Linked DNA regions of Tamandua tetradactyla. The protein of the gene in region 1 interacts with the protein of each later gene in a biochemical or structural test. Links are inferred from orthologs where the notes say so. Each region holds a gene or a part of one and is shown on either strand. Other genes may lie near its edges. The genes, in order: RANGAP1 and USPL1.

The links.
Region 2: of the proteins of RANGAP1 (region 1) and USPL1, one has a biochemical effect on the other in vitro, tested with the Homo sapiens proteins (2 studies listed by BioGRID). The link is inferred for Tamandua tetradactyla from reciprocal best matches to the Homo sapiens genes RANGAP1 and USPL1.

Annotation. Positions count from the first base shown.
Region 1 is NC_135333.1:34,450,821-34,461,041, reverse strand, and holds the start of RANGAP1 (ran GTPase-activating protein 1), read left to right. Parts: upstream 1-6,133; 5' UTR 6,134-6,249; coding exon 6,250-6,334; intron 6,335-6,517; exon of another isoform or gene 6,518-6,583; intron 6,584-6,666; coding exon 6,667-6,807; intron 6,808-10,221. UniProt on the Homo sapiens protein: GTPase activator for RAN. Converts cytoplasmic GTP-bound RAN to GDP-bound RAN, which is essential for RAN-mediated nuclear import and export. Mediates dissociation of cargo from nuclear export complexes containing XPO1, RAN and RANBP2 after nuclear export.
Region 2 is NC_135330.1:195,668,743-195,678,635, reverse strand, and holds the start of USPL1 (SUMO-specific isopeptidase USPL1), read right to left. Parts: upstream 4,701-9,893; 5' UTR 4,557-4,700; coding exon of another isoform or gene 4,554-4,556; intron 1-4,553. UniProt on the Homo sapiens protein: SUMO-specific isopeptidase involved in protein desumoylation. Specifically binds SUMO proteins with a higher affinity for SUMO2 and SUMO3 which it cleaves more efficiently. Also able to process full-length SUMO proteins to their mature forms.

The DNA.
Region 1 (10,221 bases):
TGGCAGGGCAGTCGAGAACTCTGCCTGCTGAGCCACTGTAGCCCACCCCAACAAGGGATCTTAAATTAAGGTTTTGGGAAGGGCTCTGAAGAGATCTGCACAACTTGAGGTTTTTGGTTCTTTTGTCCTCACCTGTAAACTGGGGATCATGGGAGTTTTTATCCCAAGTGGCAGAGAAAGGATGAAATGATGCCAGCAGAGTGCTGGGTATATGCATGTGTGAACTAAAAAATAAATTAAAAACATATTCTTCCTAACGAACGGTCCAAAGATTCAGGTTTTCAAAGGTGAGGGTGACATTAAAAGAAAGAGAGAGAGAGAGAAAGAGAGAGAGAGAGAGACCAGGAAGAACCAATTTAAAGGGTGAGATAGGCCAGCCACTAATTTATTATGATGCAGTAGATGAAATGCAGGTGATAATGGTCACTTTTGTCCCCACCATGTTATTATGAAAATACTCAAACATACAGAAAGTTGAAAGAAGTGCATGATGAACAACCCACATGCCGTAGATTATTCTACAATTAACACCTTGTTATATTTGCTCTATCACATATTTATCCACCCATGCATCCACCCATCCACCCATCCACCCATCCACCCATCCACCCATCCACCCATCCACCCATCCATCCATCCTGCAGAATATTAACAGTGGCTATAAATCTGGATACTGGGAATAAAGATAAAATTAAACTTTAGCTTTTACTCTATAATATTTTGCTTTTGTACAGTTTTTTTAATGACTGTGTCAGTTTTCGTTTAAAACATAAAATTATTTCCATTTTGAAACAAACGAATTATTAAAAGAGAAGATAATCTGCCAAAAGCCGTTGGCACCAGGAAACTCTCCAAAAACATCATTTAGACAGGAATTTAAGCTTCTCCAGGGACTCTGTCATTTTCTATCTTGTTCATCATTGTATTTTCATCAGCCTGGCACATAGTAGATGCTCCATAACTATTTGCGCAATGAATGATTTATTTTAATTTTGTTATTTAGCAAGGTAGGAAAAAAAAATGTGTGTTGGATGTAGAGCCATAGGCTTGAACCCAGGGGGAATGTGGTTTGAATGTAGTTAACAGATGATGTAGTGGCCCCCTTCTTTGCCCCTCCTCCCCTACAGAGGAGGGGACCCTGTGTGAGGCTCCCATGTAATGCTGGTGGGCTGACCCAGCTCTCTCCCAGGAGCCCAAGGTCAGCACCCAGTTGGATCTTGGGAATTTCTCTCCACATTCCTCTCGTGCCTGACATACTTTTAGGCTTTTGTTTTTTATCAGACTAAATGGCAAGTCTGCAGCCTTGGTAATTCTTCAGGAAATCAGCATAAATATTATTTATTCCATTTAAAATTTGCAATTAAGTTCACTGGCATCCACCAGAATGGAATTTAAAGCACTCAGTTAAAGTAAACTAATCAGAGGCAGCCTGCTTTTCTCTTGAAAACATCTTTTAAGAAAACGTTACAACTGGGAGAGAAACATCTGGAGCAGTCTTCCCTTTCTCCCTCTGTACTTGCCTCACACAATATGACTTGTTCTGAGTGTGTTGAAAAGGACCCCAGAGGTCTGGCTTCTACTGTTTGTTTGTTTGTTTTTGTCTAAAGTTACTGTGTAACTTTTGCCAGGTTATTTAACTTCTCTGGTCCTCAGGAAAAGGGTGGCCTAATTCAGTTCTACCCATCCATCCATAAAGGCTGAGTCCACTTCTTGGGCCAGGCAAATAGATCAGGTCTCAGGTGATATCTTGAAAGAAAGTTGGAAAAAGGGAAAGTGAGAAAAAGATGACAAATGTGGTTGTTGGGAAACAAATGATGAATCTGGACTTTTCTGACTCACTGTGCAACGTTGGCAAACCTCCTTCTCTTTAAGTCCTAGTATCCCTACCCATAAAGGAGTTTGAGATAGACTCTAGATTCAGGTGTTACAAACAAAATCTGGATTGCTCAGAGGTGTGGTCAGGCTGGGTTTTTTATTTTTAGCTTTGCACGTGAATGCCTTCAGTCAGAAATTTTCTCTAGTCCTCCACAAGCCCCACCAGGCTTTTTAATAATTCCTATTACCTGCTTGACCCTTGAAGGCCGTTGAGTTTCTGCTAAGAATTCCCTTTCAGTTCTGATAACCCTATCATCTATCTGCTGGATGAAGAAGGGGAAGTTCACCTAAGCAACTAAAATGTTCTATTGCCCATCTTCTTCTCTTTGGGAAGTCTCTGTCTTGAGATCCTCAAGTCTCAAGGAGTAAAACCGGAAAACGGAGACTGGAGATTACCCCAAGGAAAATCCAGACTGATTTTGATCAATCTTAGCTGGAATCGGCGCAGAAACAGCATCAAACCTAATTGGGAGTGCTTGTTCTGATGGCAAACATCAGATGACCCTGACAGGAATCCTCAAATGAGGAAACCCAAAACATCAGTGATGCCAGGCCCAAAGGGGATGCAGCTCAGGTGGATACAGTGCCTGTTCTCAGAGGCCCTCCCAGGCTAGGTAGGAAGCTAACTCTGACTGTGGGAAAGCTCTCAGAGCCATGTGCCAACTACTGTGGGGACTCAGAACTGGGCGAGACTAATTCTGGCTGCAGTGGTTTAGGAAGGCCTTCAGGATGAGGGGGAATTGACATGGACTTTGCAGGCAGAGGAGAGGGAGGGGAAGCAATCTGGTGTGGGAAAGAGGACACATGGGGCAGGTGTCACCTCTAAGCAGCTGTTTGAACCAGGGATGTCACATTAGGTCTGGAGAGTTAGCTTTCTCATCTTGATGCTGGGAAGGCTGGGAAAATGCCCACTTCCTGTGTGGTTGTAAAGATTAAATAAGCTATGTGTGCAAGAATCTGGCACATAATATACTTAACTGAATTGCAGGTAAAGCAAAAGCATATGTGTAGGCTGGATTGTGAGAGGTAACTGGAAAAGAAGGTTGCATATGTTGACAGTTATTATCTCTAGATGCTTAGGTTTCAGGTGAGGTTTACTTTTTTTTCTCCTATTCTATATTGGTTGAATTGTTTATAATGAATACATGTTTTTAATATAATGGTTAAAAAGCTGTTTATAAAAAACAAAAGCTATTTGCATTTTTATACTTTAAAAAAAGTTGCAAAGAACTCCCGTATACTGGATTTATTAATGTTTTGCCACATTTGCTTTACCTTTCTCTATGTATACATATACATGTACATATACATTTTTTTCTCTGAACCATTTGAGAGTAAGTTGCAGACATCATGCCTTTGTCCCTAATTATTTCAGCATCTGTTTCCAAAGAACAAGGACAGTCTCTAACATAACCTAGTCCAATACTCAACATCAGGGTATTTAACTTTGATACAATTGTATTATCTAATGTACAATCAGATTTTGCTAATAGTATCAATATTGTCTCCTATGACAATCTTCCCAGGATCCAATCCAGGATTACGCATTGCATTTAGTCGTGTCTTTTTACTATAATCTGCAAGGGTTCCTGTTTTTCTGCCCTTCATGATATATTTTTGGAAGAGTACAGAAGAGTTTTTCTGTAACAAGTTTCCTCAAGATTAATTTTATGCATTGTTGACAGGATAGTCATGCCGTGTCCGTCTCAATGCATCACATCATGAGGCGTGGGGTGTCGGATGATAACTTTAATTACTTGGTTAAGGTGGTGTCCGCAGAGTTTCTCTACTATAGAATTATTATTACCCCTTTTTGATTACCAAGTAATGTATGGCTATTTATGAAGAAGACTTCGAATGCCCTTTAAATTCAATGAGACGAAAAAACACGAGTTTTTTCTTTCAGGAAATGGATACTTGATTTCTTGCTGAGGAGATTTAGCAGCACGGCTTCGGAAGTACCAGCCGTTATCAATAAAGTTACGTGAAGATAAACTTTCCGGAAGGGCTGGGACAGCCGTGCTGCACGGCATTAGGGGAATTGTAGTCTCTCTGCGCGCTTCCGGTTAAGCACCGTCCCGTGGCCTGCCCGAGAAAGAGCCAGACGTCGAAATGGGAGGACGACGGCTGTGGCACTCTGGAGGGCGGTGCGTCACGGTACTTGTAGTTCACAGTATGCGCCCCTGCCATGTAACTCCGGGCCCCGCGCAGAAGGACTGGACTACTATACCCGATAGGCCACGCGCGCGGGGGGCAGGGGAAGCCGGCCTGGGCCTCGAACAAATCAAATCGAAGGCAAGAAACTGCCGGCTTTCAAAATCCTCCTCCTCCGCCATCATCCACCGCGGTGTGGGGAGCAGGTGGTGTCTGCGACGTGAGTGACGAGAAGCGCCGGGAGAGCAGACAGCCTAGCGGGCTGAGCATCAAGATCTCTGGGCCCAAAGGCGGCGACCCCGACCTGACCTGACCCGGACCCTAAACCGGTCCCCACCCCGCCGGGCGGACGCGCGTGTTCGGTTCGCCCCACGCGGCGGCGCTGCCTGTTTACGGTAGGGTAGGGGTCCCTTTCCTTTGCCCGTCACCTGCCTAGGGGCGGAGGGAGCGGCCCTGGAACTGAGTAAGGAAAGTGTGGCGCCCCTGAGCGCCTGCTGCGTGCCTCCTTGGCGATGTCCCCCGCGTCTGCGATTGCCAAGCTCGGAGGTGGGGGGTGAGAGGCGTTTGTGCCTTTCTCAAATGGGGAAGCTGAGGCATAGAGAGGATGTCAAATTCTCTGGAGCCGCCCAGTCCATGCCTGCCAGCTGTGGCGTCTCATGTTGGCATCTGTGGCTTCTGGAGGCGGTGCGAGTCTTCCGGGAATCTCGGATGAGGCTCCCGCGCTGCCCGCCTGTCATTTATGGCCTGCAGTCGCGCGTCGCTCTCCCATCACTGACTCCCAGTAGGCCCACAAAGTCTCCGATGCTCCTGCAGAGGAGGGGCTGTCTTGACTCTGCCGCTAACCCCTTGCTGACCTAGGAGAAACAAATTTACATCTCTGTGTTTCGGGTTTTTTGGTCTTTAGAGTTAATTGGGGCGGTGGGAAGGTGACTGGAGGAGTGGACCCCCTTCAGCTGAGAAGCTGCATCCCTGTTCCATCTGGAGGCTCCACCACCACTTTTGTAGCCTCAAATTGTCCCACACCAGAACTGCAAGAGGTGGTAGGGTTTAGGTTAATTTTTATTAAGTTTCACTCCCTCATTCTTTGAGCACCTTCTAAATGCCAGGCCTTGTGCACAGATAGAGTGATCCTGTCAAAGCATTCCCCAGTTCACAGCTCTTCTCTACTAGAAACTTTCCACTGTCTCTTGTCATTCAGAGAAAAAGCCATGGTCCTTAAAATGGCTTTATGATACCCCGTCCCCCTTAGCTCTCTGTTCGTTCTTACCTCCTTTCTCCCTCCTTCACTGTGCTCTTCGCTTAGCGCCCTCTGGTCTCCTTGCAGTTCTCCAACACCCCCCTCCCGGCGAGAGCCTTTGCCTTTGCTATCCCCTTTTGTGGGAATATTCTTCACCCAGGTGGCTGCAGGCCCCAATCTCTGACACACTTCAGGTCTTTATTAGTTGCCTCCTTCCTAACAATACCTTCTCTAACCATTCTACTTTAAACAACCAAAAAAAAAAAAAAAATCCTTCTTTACTCTCTTCCCCATTGATTTTTCTTATCATTAATGTACTAAACATCTGCTTCAGGAAGATGTTTGTCTGTTATTCTCTGCTGTACTCATGGTACCTGGAAAAATGTCCAACCTGTAGTAGTACTCAATAAATGTTTTTTGAAGGAATGAATGCTTATACTCAATGAATAAGTCAGGCTTATTATTAAAGACAGACAGACAAACAAACCAGGGTTAGAAGGGGAGAAAACATTGGACAGTTGTTTGGTTGAGCCCAGAGAAAGCCTAGGGAAGTGGAAGAATGGGGGAGCTCTCATAGCTGCCTCTTGAGGATGAGTAGATTGGGGGAGGAGACAGTCTACATAAAAGGAGTCTCTCTAAGCACCTCCTAGTTCTGTTCCCCATATCAGCAGTCTTCCTTGGTCTCCCCTGATTACCTGCCTGTACCCCTTTGGTAAAGTGGAGTTGTCCTTTCTTGCTGGTCTACTGAGCTCCAGGTAGGAAACCCCTACCTGGTAGGAAACCGCTACCTGGTAGAGTTTTCTGGCAACTCTACCCCTGACCTATTGTGATGGTGCTATTGTGATGTAGAGATCTCTGGTCTCCTAGAAACTCTGAGGTCTGACCACCATGGACTGCAAGGTTGAAACCAGCCAAGCAGTGGGCCAACCCCTGTGCCCCACCCCCAGAGTCATGCCAGCGTGGGCGGTGAGGCATTCCCTGGGATGGATGACCTGGACCCCATAGCCATCTATGTCCTGTTTGAGGAATGGGACCCTCAAACAGAGAGCAGCCAAGATGATCAGGCAGGTATGTGATTGGATCAGACTCTTTGCATCATGTAGCCTTGCTAGGTGCTCCTAGCTGGAGCAATTGGGCCGAGCAGGACTTATAGTGAGATAGTAACTCTTTAGCGGTGAAACATGGTTTTTCTACTTTAAGAGAGTAAAACATGATTTATCTATTTCTTTGTTACCTCTTTCCCTTTTCTAGAACTGTTCTTCCTTGATGCTGTTTTCATCTCTCAGTGGTGTAGCTCTTAGGGTCTTAATAGCAGGGGTAAGTGAGATCAGACCCCTGAGATGGTTGATTCCCACCCACCCCCTCAACCAGGTATCTTAATGCTACTTCTGCCTCTTCAGTTTACAGATCTCCAGGGGACTCCACCATCATGGCCTCCGAAGACATTGCCAAGCTTGCAGAATCACTGGCCAAAACCCAGGTGGCCGGAGGACAGCTGAGTTTCAAGGGCAAGAGCCTTAAACTCAACACAGCAGAAGATGGTGAGTGCCTGGACGGACTTGTTCAGGGGAGGAAAGGGAGTGTGTGAATGAACACTTAAAACTTTTCCTATTTGTCAGGCATATGTGGCTGCAGCAACTCTATTATGTATCCAGTAGGCCTATTCTAATGATCAGGCTCAGAGACATTAACGATTTACCCATGAGCTTGTGCAGGCTGCCCTACTCTCTTCATGCTTGTAGTGACAGCTCAGGCTGCCAGATGGGCAAAGCCTCTTTACCTCTCAGAGGGAGGAATGGTAGGTTATAAGGGGCCACAATTAATCGTGGTCCCAAGATTTAGCTCTGACTTCTGACATCAGATCTGGTGTTCTTTCTACCCCCATTTTCACTTCCTGGGAACATCAGCTGTTGTCCATGTCGAGGTACAAATAAGCAGCACCTCAGGCCCTCCTGGGAGTCTGGTCAGTGCTCCCAGATACCTTGAGAGAGGCATGGATGTCCATGTCTCTGTGGAGGGCATTGGGACTGCAGAGAATGCAGACCCTGTCTTTCCCCACCCCTAGCCTAGGCATGGCTGGCGCTGACCAACCCTGAATTCCCTGGTGTCTAGAACAGAAGATGCTGATGTCAATGCTTGTAAGACCTCTTGGGGTTTTGCCTCAAACAGGGAAACTGGTCTGGACTTGCCTGGTTGTCACTGTGAGCAGGTGGGCTTGCTCACCTCCCCTGGGTCAGAGTCCGTGGGTTGCTGGGAGTGTGGTGATGCACATTACATTCCTAACATCTCTGTAGGGCCTTAGAGTTCACCAAGCATCTCTCTCTGCTTTCATCACATCGTCCCTGTGGGAGGTAGGAGGAAATGCTGCTTTGTTAATTAGGAAAAAAGACTTGGGAGACTTAGGTAACTTGCCCTAGGTCCCACAGCTGGTTAGTAGCAGAGCCAGCATTTTAACATAGGTCCTGTGCTTCTCACTGGATGTTGAGCTCAGTTCAGTAACCATGGTCTTGCTATAAAATGCCATCTATTAAACACTTACTCTGTGTCAGGCAGGGTGTTAGGGACCATACAAATAGTACCACTGTTTATCCTCACAAAAGCCCTTGAGGTATAGGCTTCATCTTCATTTTGTAGATTGGAAAACAGGCTCACGGAAGTTGTCAGACTTATCTGAGGGCATAGCTGGTAAGTGCGGAGCTGGGGTTAGTACTTAAGTTTGTCTGACTCTGAACTTTATGGAGGTAACCTCTTCACCACATCAGCATGGGCTGAACTTGGTACTTGCTTTCATAGGTCACCAGGAGTACCCAGATTGCCCTCAATGTGGAAAGGAAATGAGGTACTGAAGTGACTAACAGGAAGCAGAATGTGAAACGTACTCTAAGAGACATAAACAAAGGACTTTGGAAACTAAGGGGAGAGAGCTCACTTTTAGCTTAGGAGGGTCTGGACAGTATCCATGGATGAGATTTGAACTGTCATGAAAGGATGATTTGAAGGAGAATCGTTACTCCAAACAGGGAGAATCGCATTGATTAAGGTCCAGAAACTAAAACAAGTAGTGTGGGTTTGGGAGAAGTGAACTCTGTTAGTTGTCAGAACCCCATAGGGATCCCAGGGCAGAGGCCCTTGAATACTGTACTGAGGAACCTGGGGTTCAGTTTTGGGCCTACGATTCACCTTGATGCTGATTGTGGCTGATAGCCGGTGGTGATCCAGGAGGGCAAATGCCTGTGTGAAGGGGCCCTGAAGTTGATGATTATAATGAGACCCTGTTCTCTCTGCAGTAAGTCATGGAAAGATCAAAGAGGCTTTCTGCTTTACCTGTCAGGATAACAATCCTCAGGAACTTGTTAGTCTGTGATGTGGTACAGGCTGAAAAGAGAAATTCCTGCCAAACAGCTTCGTAACAATTGGTTGTTCAGGAGTGACTGGGGCCCATCCCTAACCTATTGTATAGGCCATACAGTCTTTAAATTATGCATTACTCCATTTGAATCGAAAACCAAAGGAGAAAAGCAAACCCACTTACGACCCTATTGTTCTCCTGTCCCTGTTTTGTTATGTTTCCTAATAGACTTGCTCTGTAAGTGTGACTTCCCCTGGGCTGAAATTGTAGGAAGCATGGTACATGTGCATCTGTGTGTTTAAGGTACTTTCACAGCTTAGGTTTTTCCTTGGGGCCCTGGCATCTGACACCTGGTCTTTGGGGACTGTATAAACATTCTATTTTCTCTCGCCTTGTTGACCTGATCAGTACTCAGGGGTTAGAAGGTGTTCTAGTTTGCTAGCTGCCGGAATGCAACACACCAGAGACGGATTGGCTTTTAATAAAAGGGGATTTATTTTGTTGGTTCTTCAGAGGAAAGGCAGCTAACTTTCCACTGAGGTTCTTTCTTACGTGGAAGGCACAGGATGGTCTCTGCTGGTCTTCTCTCCAGGCCCCTGGGTTCCAACAACTTTCCCCGGGCCGACTTCTTTCTGCATCTCCAAAGGTCTGGGCTGAGCTGCAAGTGCTGAGATGAGGAATGCCGAGCTGCTTAGGCTGTGCTACATTGCGTTCTCTCATTTAAGCACCAGCCAATTAAGTCAAACGTCACTCATTGCAGCAGACACGCCTCCTTGCTGACTGCAGATGTAATTAACAACAAATGAGGTTCACGTACCATTGGCTTATGTCCGCAGCAACAAAACTAGGTATGCTCACCTGGCCAAGTTGACAACTGAATCTAACTAACACAGAAGGGGCTCCCTTTTGGTGTGGGTCTCCCAAGGAGTTGAGAGGTCATCCCTGTCCTTGCCCTAAGTACACTGCAGAGGAGGCCTGGGAAACCAGGACCCTGAAGTTGCAGGTCCAGAGTGGCCCCAGGAAAGGGGAGTGGTGGTTGGTTTTGGAGCTTCTATACTAGCATGAGGGGCTCATGAAGTCATTGGTTGAGAAGCAAGGATTTGGGGAAGAACATATAGATGCCCTTTTGAAAAACCAGTCTGAAGCCTAAATGTGCCATTTTCCCACACCTCCTAGGAAGAGTTATGTCATTCCTTGAAATTTCAGTTTCTACTAGAAATTCAGGAAGCTTAAATGCACTCAGCCTTCCTTGTCGTGAAATGAGAACTGGAAAAGGTGTCAGCCACCACTTTCTGACTATGTGACTTAGTGGCATTTACCCCTGCCCCCCTGCTGTGTTTGTTTACTCAGTTCTAACATGGACATGATCATGACTCCTTTATTAGGTGGTGCTGGGGAATGTATGAATTAATATATCATACAGGTAAAGTGCTTTTCAGCTGTAAAATTATTGGTTATTAGTCTGGGTGCTAATCTTGGCAGAGCTCAGTCCCTTGGCTCCTGGAGCTCACACCTGCAGAGGAGGATGGTATTAATGAAGTCACCGTATGATAACAAAGGAGTCATTTAACAGATGTGAGAGTGTAACCATGACTCAAACTACAGA
Region 2 (9,893 bases), on another chromosome or scaffold:
GTTTGGAATAGGTGGACTTCTTAGAGAAGGTCCCTTATAGTTCCAAAATTCTACCTGCAAATATTTACTCTTGAAACTAACTGCCAACTTTTAAAAAAATGTTTCTCACTAAGGACATTATCCCATTTCATCTCAAGCTGTGTTCTTAGTTATATAAATTCTGTTTGGTTTGGATTAGGTAATATGTCCACATGGTTCAGGATTCAAAAGATACTAAAGGATATGTAGTGAAAACTTTGCCTTCCACATCTGTTCCTCCTAGGAAGCAGCCAGTGGTAATAGTTTATGCTCCAAAAAAAAAAAAAAAATATATATATATATATATATATATACACACACACACACATACACGCATGTATAAGCAAATAAGTAAATAAGTGCTATATATACTTTATTTTTCTTCTCTTTTTACATAAATAATACATATTACATACTGTACCGTATTTTTTCATTTATCTTAGAAGTTCTACATCATTATGTGTCCTCATTTTTTTACAGTTGCATAATATTCCATTGCGTGGATGTATCATTTTTTGTAAGTCCTCCCTTTTGGGAGATCTTTTTTTTTTCAGATCTTTATGAAAAACATTGTGCTGTGCGTAATTTGTACATTAATCATGTTCTGCATACATGAATTTATCTGCTGTAGACAATGGCATAGCTCTATTGGAATAGTGGTATAATTGATAAAAAATTTCAGTGACTAATAACTTTAAAAACCATGTATTTCAGGCAGTACAACAGTGGGTCAATGGCAGAATTGTCAATGGGTTCCAGAGACCTGGGTTCCATTCCTGGTTTCTGCCCATGCATGTAAAAGAAAAGAAAAAAGAGCAAACCACGGTGACTTAGCAGGCAGAATTCTTGCCTGCCATGCCAGAGACCTGGGTTCATTTCCTGGTGCCTGCCCATGCAAAAAAACAAAAACAAAAAACCATGTATTTCTAAGATGCCATCTACTTTAATTTATGTGTTCCTTACACCAGTATAATATGGTGGTGTACTGGAGTCAGCATACTGCTTGATTCTAAATTGAGTATTTTGAGACAAATCACATCACCTGGGTGTTTCTTCATTTGCCCCCCCCCATGAAGCAGGTGAATCTTGTTCTAAATAAATATATAAATCTTCAAACACTAAAATCCTATAGCAGAGCAAGATTTTCAGCAGAGGCATATGAAGACTGAGACGGATGGATGGAGCAACAGATCTGTGCATTCCATCTCAGCTCACCCTAGGGTATATGCCCACCAAGTGCTTTTTCAATTGATTTTTTTCTTTTAAAATTTTTACCAGGCACATATAGTTGAATGTGCCTAAAATGCAACTTCTCTGTTTGCTCACTTTACCAATGAGAAAACTAAGTAAAAAAGAAGTAAACTGTTACGCAGATTTGCATAACAGTGGCAGTCTTGGTACTGAAACCTAAATGCTCTGATTTCTATTCCTGGACTTTTCCCAATATAGCACATACACTCCCAGTTCATATGGAGCTCTAGTGATAGATCTGAGTGTGCCCAGTGGTTAGGCATTGGTTTAGGTACTTTGGTCTGCCTAGATTCTAGAGCAACCTAGAGTTCAGAAAGTACCAGGATATTTTTCTGATGGCAAAACAAGATTCCATAAGAAATTTTTGAAATAATCACACAACCTGTTGATTAGCAATCAGGAGGGCACCAAAGAAAAAATTAAGCTGACATAGAGAAACACTTTCCTAATTGGGGCATGGTTGTCACTTAAAGGTGAATTTATGAGTCATCAGACTGGAAGGAATTTAGGATTATTTGGAAATGAATAGTCTTATGTTCCCAGAGTTGATGCTATCACTTAATATAGCCAGGAAATTTTAAACTCTCATGCATATCATCAAGGGAAAAGTGGTGCTAGAAACAGTGACAAAGAATGGAAATACCGAAGGTCAGGCTATGTGCTGTGGTAACCGTTTTCCTAAAGCTGGCATTGGAACACCTGACGTCTTTTTCAGGCCTCTCTGCTGACAATGCTGTTCCCCTTCTCTTTACCTAATTTGCTCTTCTCATCCTTCAAGCCTCAACTTAAATGTCATGGGTCAAGTTATCCACCCTATTGATGGAGCTCACCACTCTCTGTTACCCCCCTCTAGTTTTCTACTACCACTTGCTGCTGTTTGTTTTCCTCATAGCAGTCTTCTCAGCTTTTAATTACATAGTCATTTTTTTAATTTTATTTTTATTATTTAATGTCTGTCCACCTTCTAGGCTGTGAGCTCTGTGAGGGCATGCAGTACAGCTATTTCATTTGCCATTGTAGATGCAGTGCCTGGTACATAGCACATACTTGTTGAGTAAATGAATGAATGACCTTGATGGTTCCCAATTTCCAGTTGACATGGCTGACCAGATCCACTCTGAAGGGAAATGTTTTCAACAGCATATTTCCCTCATGTTCTCATATCTATTAGTTCATATTTGATATGTTCATCTTATTGAGGAAAATTTTAAACATTCTTCATCAAGTTTTATTGACTGTGCAAGGCAATGTGCTAAATTCTAGGGAATGCAAAGGTGAATAAGGCATAGGCTTTATCCCTAAAGCAAGTAGAAATATTTGTGAACAGCTTCCATACAAGGCACAACAATGACATAAAATGCTAAGTAAGATTTACATGCAATGTTCTGTAGGAGCAACAGAGGAAAAAATGATTAATTGTGGGAAGAGCACACAGTGGATTTTGACTTTGGTTTTGAAAATAAAAAAAAAAGAGCAGAAGTCCCTGTAGAGAATAGAGGTGAATGAATGTTCAGCTTCATTTTTTTAAAGCCTTAAAATGGCAATACTGACCACAAAGGATTCTTATAAAGCATTATCATAAAGCCATCTTTAAAAATCTCAGTTATAAATAAAATTAGTTTGGCCTTAAACATTGCACTTCTAAATTTGAGACTAACCCTAAAATCAGTTTGGCGGCTTTTACTATGTTGGTAATTTCCAGCTAGTTGTTATGAGTTCACTCTAACAGTTGGATTTGACTGATGGCTTATTGGAGTTAAGAGTTGTTTAGTAAACTAATCAGTTAAGTCAAAACCACTGAATATTGAAAATAGACATTTTTTTAAAGTGCTTTTTAAGCATGTGATTTGTCTTTAATGTACTGTTCACTGACATCACAATTTAAGAGTGTAGATTGCTTTTTTGATGGGTCCAATCTGATCTTTTGAAAGTTTATTTGTGCTTTCTTCCGTCTGTGTGTTTTCCTAAGCAACACAGACCTCCTTCTACTTTAGGGAAAAAAGGAGGGAAAAAATATATAGGCTTTAGATTCACAGACCTGATTTCAAATTTGCCATTTATTAATCCCAATTCTGCTACTGCTCAATTTTACCTATAAAATGAAAACATCTATTGATACCACTTCTGTGGCATTTCAGGCAAACTATTTAACCTCTCTGAGCCTCAGTTCCATATATAAAATGAAATGATCTTCAGTGAGGTAGTATGTAGAACAGTGTCTTGCAGTTCATAAGCTTGCAGCAATTATTGCTTTCCCCTTTTCCTCTTGCTTGTCCATTACAGTTCACTTCAAATTCTGTGGGCTGTCACTGCTAGCTCACAGCAGTCTTCTATTTTCCAAAGTCATGGAATTTACCATGTATACCACTGGTTCCTAAATTGGTATAGGTCGGATTATACTGGGAAAAATGCAATTGTGTGGGTCCTACTTCTGCAGACCCAGGCACCTATATTTTTACCTTGTACTTGCAGATATTCTAATGCTAACCAAAGATGGAGTGTCCACAGTTTCTCACCTGCTTGTTCATAATCGTGTGCTTCTTATAGTTTATATTCGTTAGGTAGTTCTTAGGTTACTATGTAGCCCTCTGGCTGTTTTGTTTTTCATCCCAAATACACTGTAACCTCTACAAGAGCACAAAATACCCATCATAGTGCTTGGTTCTTTGTTTGGGGGTTAATAAGTAATGTCCATGTCTTTTCCTCTGTCTAAATTTGGATCCAGTTATAAAATGATGCAGTAGTCAAACACATGAAGATTAAAGTGTTAGTTTAATTACCAAAAAAAGTCGTTTGGAAATGTGGTTTCGGTTTGCAGCAACAATGAGCTTCCTAATACTGCACTCCAGAAGTAGGCAGATTTAAACCTCAGCTTCTCTGTCTACAAGGGTAGAGCTTATCCACCATATATACCAGACCAGAACAAATGGCCCTCCTCAGTCAGCCAGGTCCCAAATGGAAAGGAGGAAGGATGTGGCCGGGGTACATACTTTCTTCTCCCAAATTTGCCATCAGATCCCTTACCTGCTCCTACCCTAGGAGGGAATTGGTGAGGGTGAGAGAGGTCAGTTATGAATATTACACTCAGGAAGTTTCATGTGGAGTATGAAGGAGCTTTCATATCCTCACAGTGCTCAATAGGTATATTCTTGGACTTCTTAAATATTTAAATGAAAGGTCATGGAAGGTATTGAAAGGTTATTGAAAAGTAGATTTTTTTCAGTATAAATTATATTAGTTAACTTTTACTAACCCCCAAACAGCTTAAAATAATAAACACTTACCATTCTGCACAGTTTCACTGGGCAAGCATCCAGGAGTTGCTTGAGGGTCTCATGAGGTTGTGGTTGAGACGCCTGTGGGCTGCAGTCATCTGCAGACTGCCCTAGGGTTCCCACAGCATGGCAGCTGGCTTTCTCCCAGAGAATAGGGCAGAAACTATGTGCCTTTTATGACCTCACCTCAGAAGTGACATACCTTCACTTTGCCATGGTCTGTGGGTTGCACATACCAACCCCTGGAGCCCGTGGGAGGGACCCCTTCAAGGGTGTGACGACCAGGACAGGGTTGGTTGGTGCTGTCTTGAAGGCTGGCTTCCACAAGTATTTAGCCTGTACCTCACCTTGCTTCTTAGGGGAGGAAACAACTCGATGATATAATATCCTGTTAAAATTACTAAAATATTAAAGGTGGTTTCTGAAATAATTTTATTTTTGTAGAGATATTATGTATGGTTTCCTAGCTGGAGAATAAGTTGAGAGAATGTGTCCAGAGGATTATTCTCTACTACCGGCCCCTCCTTCCTGCCCAGCTCAGTCCCTGAGTCAGCGGTTTACCAGGGTGGTCAGGGACTGCTGGTTTGCATGATCTTCCAGATCGTCCAGGAAAGTTCAGTGGATCTACAGGCAGACTTAACTAGGTGATAATAACTACAATTTTGATTTTAGAATGTATTAATAATTTACTTGTGGTCTCCTGGGAGGTGCCTCGTAAAGTCTGAGTCCCATCTTCTGATTTCTTCAAGGGAGGTTTTTGCAGTGGTAATCAGAATGAGGTGGAATCGATGGCTAAGGTGATCATTTACCTCACAGAATTAGTCCATAGGCCCAGAGAGATGGAAGACATCACTCTGAGTAAGCAAACAGGAGCTTAACATTTTAATGCCAAAAGATTAAAGGAGTCCAAGTAAGGGAACTAAAATGGTTATGAATATAATTTATATTGCATGTAGTGTGCTAAGTAATTTTAGGTTTTGTAAAACAACAATGTTAAGAAGGAACTTGAAATGTTCAGTGAATTAAAGAGTATAAAATTCATTCGTCCTTTATTTTTAATGCTTTTCAACACTATGGGAAAGAGAATAATTTCAAGATTATGGCAGGAAATGTTTGAAGATAAATTGGCAATGCCTAAATATTCTTTTGGGTTCTAGCCACACACATTGTTGAATCAGTTTGCTTTTAAGTTGCTTAAAGAACTAGATACATGAATGAAAAGTTGAAGAAGCTCAGATGCTAGTATAACCAGTTCATCATTAAGGTATTTACAAAGGGAGAAGAAAGTATGTTCCAAACCCTGTTAACTCATCTGCCTGTCATAGTGTCCAGTCATGTAGGCATATTGATGACAGCTTTCACCCTCAAGTATTAGGAGGCACTATTTTGCTCATCAGAAAGGAAATTTCGGGAAATTCATCTTAACTTTTGAAATGTAATTTGTCATGATTAATCAATAGAATCACACTTGGTTTTAAGGTGTGATCACCTATGAAGTCTTACGGTCAATGAGAGGTGGTAGTACATTTTTTTTTCTGAATGTAGAATATGTAAACCTTAGAAGTTGCTCACTTGAGTCTTCAGAGCTAATAAGAAGTGGTGGGTGAAAGGAATAAACTTTGAAAAGATTGAGGATTTTCTGAAAATGAAAGGACAGGAGGTATAGGAAAGTTAAAAAATGTTCATTTTAAGATCTTGTGCTGGGAATAATAAATACACTCACTAACCTCAGAAATTCCGCTTCTAAGGTAGAAGAACAAGTTCAATGGCATGACAAGGAATCAGTCAAATGCAAAAGGTAGAATGTTCTGTAAGACTGGTCTTTTTAAAAAGTCATTGTCATTAAAAGAGAACAAAGAAACCTGATGACCAAATACAACACATGGACCTTGAGTAGATTTTGGGTTTTAAACTACTACCATAAAATACATTTCGGGGGGTGGGGGAGGGCAAGAGAAGTTCAGTGGTAGAATTCTTGCCTGCCATGTGGGAGCCAAATGAAAAACCAAAATAAAAATTCAGCAAATGGTGCCACAATAAGGAGATACTCACATAGAAAAAGAATGAAATGTGCCCTCCACCGTACAGCATTAAAAAATATATATTTTAGAGAAATTTCAATATTCCCAAACATAGAAAATATTTGGGGATATATTTTTAATTTTCCTGAGTGTGTTGGTGACTATATGGTTATTTAGAAGGGTGATCTTATTATTAGGAGATATATTTGAAGTATATTTAGGAGTGAAGTTATCTTCAGATAATTCAGAAAAATAGATATATGTATACACATAAGCATGTATAGGTAAAACACATATAATACAGTGTTAACAAATGTTGACTCTAGACAATAGATACAAGGATAGTTGTCATGCTATTCTTTCAGCTTTTCTGTGTATAAAATAAGTTGGAAGGGGCAGTCTTCCAGATAATCCTGTTACTATACTCCACTTTATAGCATAAGACCTCAAGTGTCTATCATTGTATATAGTTGCTGTCTCTGCTCTCCTTTGGAATCCATACCAGTCAGGCTTTCATTTCTCCTCTCCACCCAAACTGCTCATTTGTACATCAGCACTGGCTTCCATGTTGCATTATCTGGTAGTCAGTTCTGAATCCCCTTTGGACTTGACCTCTCAGCATTTGACACAGTTGATCATTCTCTCCTACTCTGTTCTCCTCCTCTTCCATGGCTTCTCCTGTCTTTTGCCTCCTCCTCTTAAGTGCCTTAGGGCTCAGTCCTCAGTGCTCTTTGCAGTTTTCCTTGACTGCCTAAGTGATCTTATCCTGTCCTATAGCCATAGATGCTCAAAATTCCATCCTTATATTTCTAGCCCTGAACTTCAGACTCATGGATTTAGCTGCCTACCTGATATATTCACTTGGAGGTTGTTTTAGTTTCCTTGGCCATTCCAAGCAAAATACCATGAAATGGGTTGACTTAAGCAATGGGATTTTATTAGGCTACAATTTTGAGGCTAGGAAAATGTTCAAATCAAGGTATCACCAAAATGATGCTTTCTTCCTGGATACTGGCCACCAGCAATCTTTGGCTCTCTGCCACATGGCAAGGCACATGGTGGTGTCTGCTGTTCTCTCTCTTCTCTTCTGGGTTTTGTTGCTTTCACCTTCTTGCTTTCCCAGCTTTCTCTCTCTGAATTTCATTCTCTTATCAAGGACTTCAGTAATAGGGTAAGACCCATCCTTTGAGGTGGGATACACCTTCACTGAAGTAAACTCATCAAAAAATCCAGCTTACAACGGGTTCACACCGACAGAAATGGATTAAGCTAAAGAACATGTTATCTGGGGTGCATACAGCTTCAAACTACCAGAGATGTCATGGAGGCATTTCAAACTTAGTATGTCCAAAACTGAATTCTTGATTCTGGTTAACCATTTCTGTCCACCCCCAAAGAAAACAAAGCATCTACTTCTTCCCTACAACTCCTGCAGTCTTCCTACTTCGTCTCAGTATGAAGACTGCATTCTTCTGATTGCTCTGGCAGAGAGCCTCTTTTTCCTCCATTTACATTTAATGTAGTCAGCTCTCCTTTCAAAATATATTCAGAATCTCACCACTTCTCTAGCTCCCACGACTACCATCTTAATCCAACCCACCATTCTATTTCAGATTATAGATGGGTTTCTCAACCCTGATCAGCACCACTGATGTTTTGGACCAGGTAGGAGGCTGTCCTCTCTCTTGGGTCTGTAGCACCATCCTTGTCTCTACTTGCATGATACAAATGACCTGTAGCCCCAGTTCTGATAACCAAAAATGTCTCCAGACTTGACCAGATATTCTCTGGGAAGCAAAATCTAGGAAGGAAAATTCAGTCAAGGACCACTGGATTATAACGATATTCTCCTGTTCTTCCTGCTTCCTTCCTTGCCTCCCTACAGATCATTCTCTATCTGGCAGTCAGTGTATCATTTAAAGCATAAATCACATCAGGTCACTCCTTTTCTCAGAGCCCTCCTGGGCTTTCCCACTAGGGTCAAATCTTTAAGTCTGTGAAATCTATGCAGTTTGAAAAGAGCATCCCTTCCCCTAGGTGGGTGCAACCCTTTACCCTGATTTATTCTTCTTTGTTGTGTCTTTCACCACCTGGCATGGATTGAATTATGTCCTGCAAAAAGATATGTTAAAAGTCCTACTCCCCATTATCTCAGAATTTAGCCATATTTGAGAGTAGGGCCATTACAGATTGAAGTAGGCAAGGTAAAATGAGGTCAAACTGGAAAAGGGGGGCCTTTCATCCAGTGTTACTGGTGTCATTATGAAAAGAGGAAATTTGGGCCCAGAAGAGGGGAAAATGCCATGGAATGATTGAGGAAGAGAAAGCCCTACATTACTGGCAGTCCACCACCAGAAGCCAGGAAAGGAATGGGGAACAGATTCCTCTCTAGGGTAGTCTTCAGATGAAGCACGGGCCTGCCAACACCTTGGTTTCGGACCTCTAGCCTCCAGAATTATGCGGCAATATGTTTTTGTTCTTTTAAGCCTCCAGTTTTTGGTACCCTGTCACAGAATCTGACATATTTGTTGACTGAATGGTGAGATGCACCCTACAATTGCAATGATCTATATTTAGTACCAAGGTAAGTGCTAAAATTGCACCCCACCCAGCCTAGGACCCTTAAGATAGGCTTACACCTAACCCAGCCTCAATGAGTCTGGAAGGATCTCCCAGAAAAAGCAGTGCCTAAATAGGACTTCGATAGGTCGTGTAAAAGGAGAGAAAGGGTATTAGCATGAAGGAGCAGGAGAAGAGTGGAGCAAATAATTAATTCTGAAATGACAGCAGGACCTCCAGGAGGACACTCCACATCCTTGGTAGAGATGAGTCTTGATCTCAGGAGAGGGAATCCGTACTGTACATATAGATTTGAAAGTCATCAATAAATATGGGGAAAATGAGAGAAAACATATAACAATTGGAGGAAAGCCTTGAAATGTAGTCTGATAAACTAAGAAAATTCCCTAACAAATGCTACAGAGAAAAACGAAGGAGGGAAAAGAAAGGAGACTGCTGAAGTGTTTCATTAAAACCAGGAAAACCAAGTGAACCATGGGCATTTTAGGACACTTTCCCTGTCTGGTTTAAGCAAAAGCACTTGTTTTTCCTCGGGGCTTGTGGAAGTGATTACTGCCGACAAATGAAACCTGCTGGCTATGGCTGTGCATATAGCTACTAAGGTTATTTAAATTTTTATGCATTCAAAAAATCATGTCTTCAAACTTGGAGATCTTTGGAGGAAAAAATCTATTGAACTATGGAGTATGAAGTGTTCTTTTCCTCTCATTCTTATACTTTTAATTTGAGATTGTAAACTAACATTTAT